Linked DNA regions of Sus scrofa. The protein of the gene in region 1 interacts with the protein of each later gene in a biochemical or structural test. Links are inferred from orthologs where the notes say so. Each region holds a gene or a part of one and is shown on either strand. Other genes may lie near its edges.

Region 1 (3,509 bases):
CTGGCCGAGTTCCGCTGCAGCGCCACGGGGAACCCCACACCCACCCTCGAGTGGACAGGTGAGGCTGTGGCAAGAATGACAGTCAGGGCCTGGCTGTCCTGGATGTGGGGGACCAAGGGCAGGACTCTAGGATGTAGACTGCAACCTCCGGGGGGACTGGCAATGCCAATCCCAGTGGGTGCTAACCCTGCTTCTGCACGTCAGGGGGCCCCGGTGGCCAGCTCCCTCAGAAGGCCCAAATCCTTGGCGGCATCCTGCGCCTGCCAGCCGTCGAGCCCTCGGATCAAGCCCAGTATCTGTGCCATGCCCACAGCAGCGCCGGGCAGCATGTGGCCAGGGCTGTGCTCCACGTGCACGGTGAGAGGGCAGGGCTGAGGGTCGGGTGGGGAGCGCGCAGCAGCCCAGAGAGGTGTCCTTACAGGGATCTGTCTGCAGGGGGCAACGGGCCCAGGGTCCAGGTGAGTCCAGAGAGGACCCAGGTCCACGAGGGCCGCACTGTCAGGCTGTACTGCAGGGCTGCAGGTGTGCCCAGCGCCACCATCACCTGGAGGAAGGAAGGGGGCAGCCTCCCCCCACAGGTGAGGATGCCTGACCAGGCCGGGCCCATGGGCTCAGCGGAATCCCAGCACTTGCCACCAGCCCCGACCTCTTCTGCTTCCCTTCACTTCCAAGATGGGGGCCTATTCAGATGCCCTGTTCCCTGCATCCTGGCAGGTGGCTGCTGTCAGCCTCTTGCTTTGATGGCTGGTTCTGCCCTCCTTGGTGCCCAGCTGGGGCCCTGATCTTGGCTCTGAGCTGGCCTCTACTCTTTAGGCTCCCCCCTGCCTGCCCTCCCCACTGGCCCTTGCCAGCCTGCCTCGGCCCTCGGGCGGCTGACTCATTTGCTGTGTGGCAGGCCCGGTCTGAACGCACCGACATCGCCACACTGCTCATCCCAGCCATCACAACCGCCGACGCCGGCTTCTACCTCTGCGTGGCCACCAGCCCTGCGGGCACCGCCCAGGCCCGGATCCAAGTGGTGGTCCTTCCAGGTGCGGGGCCTTGGGGGCTGAGGAGTGGGAGGGCCGGCCAGGGCTTCTCTGAGGCCCACTCACGCTTCCTCTGGCCCCAGCTTCAGGTGCCAGCTCCCCGCCGCCAGTCAGGATTGAGTCCTCGTCGCCTTCTGTGACCGAAGGGCAGACCCTGGACCTCAACTGCGTGGTGACGGGGCTGGCCTACACCCAGGTCACGTGGTACAAGCGAGGGGGCAGCCTGCCTCCCCACGCCCAGGTACGAGGGTCCCTGAGCCCGGTCCTTCACGCAGCCCGGCCCTCTGCAGGGCCTGCCCTTCTTTCCTCCCTCTCCAGCTTCTGGCCTGGGCCGGCTCTGCGTGGAGCCAGGCCCGGAGGCTCAGCGGGAGTGGTAACCCCATTGTCACTTACCTCTATCCTCACCTGGCCCAGGTGCATGGCCCCCGGCTGCGGCTGTCCCACGTATCACCGGCTGATTCTGGAGAATATGTGTGCAGAGTGGAGAATGAGTCAGGCCCCAAGGAGGCCTCCATCATCGTCTCTGTCCTCCACAGCACCCATTCAGCCTACACGCCAGGTGAGGAGCCGCCGGGGCTGGCTGGGGGCCAAGCCCTCCGACCTCCCGTCTGTTCCCAAGGATAGCGCCTGTGGTCTCTTCGGTGACATCTGGACAAGAAGAGGCCCTCGAGGCAGGCTTTGACCCTCTACTCCCTGCAAGGGGAGATGCAGGGACTGACGATGGGGATAAGGTTGACCTGACTTTCCTGGGACCCCGTGGTGGGGGGACTGTTTGCAGAATTGGTCTGAAAGCAGCAGAGTCAGGGTTGAACCCTGAGTTGGGAGTCAGGCTGATCTGTGTTGAGATGCTGTCTCTACTCCTTATCAGCCTTGAACTGATTTTACCATTGAGGCCTTAGTTTCCTCGTGTGTGAAATGGAACAGCACCACGGCCCTGTGATGTGAGCACACAGCAGGCACTCTGAAAGAAGTTGTGGCACCATTGTCTTCATCCTTTGGCCCAAGCTGGGTGCTGTAGGACTCTATGTCCCTGCAAGCCAGAGCAGCTTGTCACAGACCCAGGAGTCCTGGGTGGGCGGATGGGCCTTGACCACCAAGGTGAAGGTTGAGGAGGGAAGGAGGGGTCTGGCTGGCCCTGCCCAGGCAGGAAAGTGTGGTCCCAGCCCCAGAAAGGCCTCTCGGCTGCCCTCCCAAGCTAGGGCCTGGTCCTATTCCAGGGCCCAGGTCAAGGCTTCTCCTGAGCCCCCAGCCTCTGACCAGCCCCTCTGTGCCCCAGCTCCTGGTGGAGCCCCAGCTCCAGGCAGTACCCACCCCATCCGCATCGAGTCTTCCTCATCTCACGTGGCCGAAGGGCAGACGCTGGATCTGAACTGTGTGGTGCCCGGACAGGCCCACGCCCAGGTCACGTGGCACAGGCGTGGGGGCAGCCTCCCTGCCCGGCACCAGGTACAGCAGACCCCCAGGGCCAGCCTGCTGGAGGGGTTGGTTAGGGCTGCCTCGGCCCCCTCCTAACCCTCCCTTTTGCACTCAGACCCATGGCTCGAGGCTGCGGCTGCACCAGGTGTCCCCAGCCGACTCAGGCGAGTACGTGTGCCGCGTAGTCCTTGGCTCTGGGCCCCTGGAGAGCTCCGTCCTGGTCACCATTGAGGCGTCTGACTCTGGCACTGGCTCCATCCCCAGTAAGTGACTGCTGGTGACCAGGTGAGCTGGAGGAGGCTGAGAGCCTTCCCAGGTGCTGAGGTCCTGGTGACTTCCTGTTGGTGACATGAGGAAGAGGGTGGCAGGAAGCCCACGCTGGGACTGGCCACAGGGCCTGGCCCGGACAGACGCCGCTTCTCTGATGCCATCTTCCCATCACTTCTCTGTGGCCACGTCTCTCGTGTTTCTGCTCCTGCCTCCTCTTCCTCCTTCCCAGCCTAATTTTCAATTACCCTCATCTCTCCCGCTTCCTCATGCCCTGGGCAAGCCTTGGCTCCCGCCCCAGCCGCCCCTCAGGGTTGCTCAGGACCCCAAGCCCAGGCCACTACAGCCACAAGGCTGAGCTGCCTTCTCTTCTGGGGGGCACCTACTACCCTCGCCCCTCTCCCGACTGCCCCAGGACCCATCCCGCCTGTCAGGATCGAGTCCTCATCCCCCACCGTGGCTGAAGGGCAGACGCTGGATCTGAACTGTGTGGTGGCAGGGCAGGCCCACGCCCAGGTCACGTGGTACAAACGCGGAGGCAGCCTCCCTGCCCGGCACCAGGTACACAGCGGCAGGAAGGTGGGAGGGGGCCAGCTGGCCGAGCTGTGGACAGTGGGTGGGGATGGGAGCAGCAGACAGCCCCTGAGCTAAGGGACCCAGTTCCCAGCTCAGAGGAACGGGGTAGGGGGCGCCTGCTGGACTCTGGGAAGCCCCCTTCTCACACTGCTGCCCCTGGCTGTCTAGGTCCGCGGCTCCCGGCTCTACATCTTCCAGGCCTCACCAGCGGATGCAGGCGAG
Region 2 (3,946 bases), on another chromosome or scaffold:
AGGGAGGGGAAGGCCCTCTGCACCACCTGCGGGGCCAGCCCAACACTTGCCTCCCCAGCAAGAATGAAAACCTCCAGGAGGTACCAGGGGAGGCCAGGGGCTGCCCACCACCTCCAAGTCCCCTGTGCCACTGACAGAACTGGTCCTCATCTGGTCATCAACAAACTTCCACAACACCACTCATCACAGGGACATTCAGGGCACATGAATCCAGCTGCCTACATGTGGTAAACAGAGCCGAGGGTCCCAGGAACAAGGACTTAAAATAACGCAGCAACCGCCACACCCACACCACCCAGAGAGAGGCCACCAAGGAGCGTGAGTGAGAGGAGGAAGCCACCCATCCCTCTGGCTGCGACCCTCCTGGAAGAGCAGCCCTCCACCAGGGCCAGCCGGTGGGGGTGGTGGGGGGGTTGGCGAGGGGACTGCTCCCACCCCAGCCCCCAAGTCCAGGGCAAACAGGCCTCTGACACCCAACAGGACACATGGCAATCCTCCTGAGGGACCCAGGGTCTTCCTCCTGGTGATCCTGGGGTCACAGTCACAGCAAGAGCAGAGCAGGAAAGTGTGCTGGACTTTCAGGCCGTTCCGAAGGAAGCGCAGTGGTCTAGGTCACCAGCGGCCCTGGATTTAGCTTTACGTGGACCCCAGGCCAGAAGGTAGCTTCACTTCCCTGTGCTGTTCCACAAGCACCTACTGCATGTCAGGTGTGACCCTGGTTCGGGGAATTCCCCTGGGCCAATGCGACCAAATACCTCCTCTCATGGACTTGCTAAAGGGAGGGCAAAGAGTTTGGTTTTAGGGTCAGAAAAACCTGCATGGAAATCCCAATTCTGCCCTTTGCCTGCTGAAAGAGCTTTCTGGGTCCCAGTTTCCCCATCTTGCAGAAAGGGGTAAGACTGTGACCTTGCAGGATCAAGGATAGGGATCTGGGGAGAAGGACAAGGCTCGGCTCCAAGATCACTGCCTTGCTCCCTTGGGGCCTCTGCAGCCCAGCAGACACCATCACAAGGATGCCCCACAGTCCAGGCAGATGGGATATGCCCCTCATCACTCCCAACACTAAGGCCTTGAACTGTACAGGCTCACTCAAGGCTTCCCCAGCCATTGGTGAGGGGACTAACTCAGGCCCACTTTGGGGCAAGCAGTGCTGCAGAAAAAGCCTGGGTCACACAGCAAGAGCAGCCAAGCAGAGGTGCACGCCGGCCTGGCAGGAGCCAAGAATGTGAAGCGGTCTCCTGCCCCACCCCAAAGGCAGCAGGCAAGCAGCACTAGCCAAGGGCACCCCGCGGGAATGAGGGTCCTGAGCCTCCAGACCTTGTGATTTTTCAGAAGACGGAAATCCGGACTTTTATGTGAAACCTGCCAATTTGTAAATGCTGGCAGCTAATTAAATTTTTAAAAATAATAATAATATGGTACGAGCCAAGCAAAACATGGGGGCTGGCAGGTTCGCGCCTCCGGAGTCAGAGCCTTTGACTTCATCCATGCCCTGTCCCTCCCCCTCAGCACAGCTCCGGACGCAGGAGGGGAGGGTGGGAAGTCCAGGGGGCCAAAGTTCCCGGGCCCTCCCTTCCTCCTGGTGGGGATTTCACTCCCACTGGCAAGTGGGGAAGGTGAGGCTCAGAGTCCTGACCATTTGGCCGCACACATGTGCCAGGCCCAGGCAGGAGGTTTGCTCTGGGAGGGCCCTGGACCAGCACCCTGATTCCAGGGACTCTGGGCAATAACCAGCACCCAGATTACTTTCTTTTTCCGGCCCATCACGGTGACACCTGCTGGCTCAGACCAGCTTTGGAACGACCCAAGTGGCAGTCACAGACTGAGGTGTGGGGTTAGACCTGGGACAGCAGAGGGAGGGAGGGCACCCCTGCTGGGAGACTGCGGGGGGGGGGGGGACCCTCGGGATGGGGAGGGTGGCAGAGTCAGGCCTACTCCTGCCCCCTGAGCCCCCTCCCTGTGCTCCCCATAGCTGCCCAGGCCCCATTATAAGAGAGCCTCAGCCAAAAGCTACCCCTAGCCTGACTCTGGCCCCACTGGTCAGAAGACAGCACCCACTGAAGGCTGTGCCTGTGGAGGGTGGGGGGGCCCAGATGCACTACCAAGTGGCTGGCATGTGACCCTGTGTGCAAGATTCATGATGTGTGGGGGAGTGTCTGTGACCTCAGGCATGTGAGAGACACGTGTGTGACACATGTGAGAGAGGTGTGTGTGACAGACACACGTGTGTAGCAGACATGCGTGCCTATTAGGGAGGCACACGCTTTTAATAGACACAGCCGTCTGATACAGGCACGCGTGTCTGGGAATCGCCCGTGTGCAGGGCACGTGTGTGTTAAGCATGTGTGCGCGAAAGGGACGTGTGAGGGACCAGTGAAACCAGGGGCGCGTCCCACATTGCCTGCGGGGGAACTTCTGTAGCTGCAGCGCGGGGACGGGTTGGGAAAGGAGAGGAGCGCGACGGCAGCGGTGCCGACCGAGGGCCCAGTCTTCCCTCTCGGGGACAGCGGCCGGGCTCGGGACCTGGTGGAGGTGGGTGGGAGTGGGGCAAAGGGAAGGGGTGATGGGGCCCCAGGCGGGAGGGGGCCCTCCGCGACCCTGCACCCCACCAGGCGCCGGCCAAGGTGTCGCATCTCCCCGCCGGGGCGCCAACCCCACAGGGGCGGACCGGGGTCTGTGTGCACTCACCGCGCTGCGCTCCACTCGTCAGCCCGCCGGCGCGTCTGCCCGTCCGTTTGCCCGCCTGGCCGTCGGCGCGTCGAGAGCTCCGGAGCCCGGCGGCGTCGCGGGGCGGGGCGGGGCGGGGCAGGGCGGGCCGAGGGGCGGGCAGAGCGGGCGCCGGGCCCCCTGCCGCCCTCCCCCCTCCGCCTCCGGGGCGGGGTCTCGGCTGCAGCAGGGGAGGGGGCCCAGCCGCGCACCGGGGGCCGGACGTGGCCGCGCCGCGCCGCGCGTGCGCCCCGAACCCCGCGCCCCCTCGCCGCCCACCTTGCCACCCCGTTTAAACGCTCAGTCTCAGACCCGGCCCTGCCGCCCTTTGGGGGCTTTGGCTTGGTGTTCAGCCAGCCTGGGCCTCAGCGTCCCTTCTGAGAAGATAGACCCGGCCATCTGGGACACTTTGGGAGAGCTGAGGGGCTTGGAAGTGACACTGGCCGGAGACAGGCCTGGCCCACCTCTGCTCGCCTCACTGCCTGCCTTGGGGGCTTCCACATTTGCTCTGGCCTGCTTGCACCCCGTCCCAGCCCTCAGCCTGGGTCTGTCCTTTTCCTCAGCCCACGCAGCTGCTTGTGGCCACTGTGAGACCTTAAGCAAGGCCCTTGACCTCTCTGAGCCTCGTCTGTTCATCTCTTGAGCAAGGATAACCCTGAGCTGTTGGTGGAGAACCATGGAGAACCGCATATTCTCTGCCCACAGCACAGGGCCCAACAGGTGGTGAACACTCCCAAGTCATCAGCTCAACATGTTAAGTACTGTGAGGGGGACCCCCACAGTGAAGTCAGGGTGGGGCATCCAGGGGTCCCCACTCACTGGGTTTGGCAGCTATGGAGCCTGTGCTTGGTAAGAGGCCCCACAGGGAGCAGGCTTACTTCCTTAGGACCTCCCAGGTCCTTTCTCCTGGTCAAGGTCTCAAAACCCCAGACGAGAACCCACTCAAGCAAAGTCTGGCACTGCCAGACTGGGGCAAACATTCAGCACCAGGGCAGCCCTGGTGAAACCCCCTGGGCCCAGCGGGCCTGGACTCAGGCGCAGGGACCCCACAGCCTACACCCTTCCGCACCACTAACTTCAAAGACGGTCGGAACCCAAAGAGATCCCAGAACTCTGCCCTTCTATTTCTGTCTCTCTTTTTAATGTAGTAAAATTCACCATTTAAAGTGTGCAATTCTAGTATCTAAAGCATTCACAGCTTCTCTCTTGTTATCTCCTAGCCACTCAGCCCACTCTCTCT

What was found.
Region 2: the proteins of HSPG2 (region 1) and FBLN2 form a complex in vitro, tested with the Homo sapiens proteins (2 studies listed by BioGRID). The link is inferred for Sus scrofa from reciprocal best matches to the Homo sapiens genes HSPG2 and FBLN2.

The regions. Positions count from the first base shown.
Region 1 is NC_010448.4:79,878,284-79,881,792, reverse strand, and holds part of HSPG2 (basement membrane-specific heparan sulfate proteoglycan core protein), read left to right. Parts: coding exon 1-58; intron 59-204; coding exon 205-357; intron 358-435; coding exon 436-578; intron 579-895; coding exon 896-1,031; intron 1,032-1,111; coding exon 1,112-1,269; intron 1,270-1,442; coding exon 1,443-1,587; intron 1,588-2,304; coding exon 2,305-2,474; intron 2,475-2,559; coding exon 2,560-2,707; intron 2,708-3,126; coding exon 3,127-3,272; intron 3,273-3,455; coding exon 3,456-3,509. UniProt on the Homo sapiens protein: Integral component of basement membranes. Component of the glomerular basement membrane (GBM), responsible for the fixed negative electrostatic membrane charge, and which provides a barrier which is both size- and charge-selective.
Region 2 is NC_010455.5:70,827,629-70,831,574, forward strand, and holds the start of FBLN2 (fibulin-2), read right to left. Parts: upstream 2,803-3,946; 5' UTR 2,689-2,802; intron 1-2,688. UniProt on the Homo sapiens protein: Its binding to fibronectin and some other ligands is calcium dependent. May act as an adapter that mediates the interaction between FBN1 and ELN.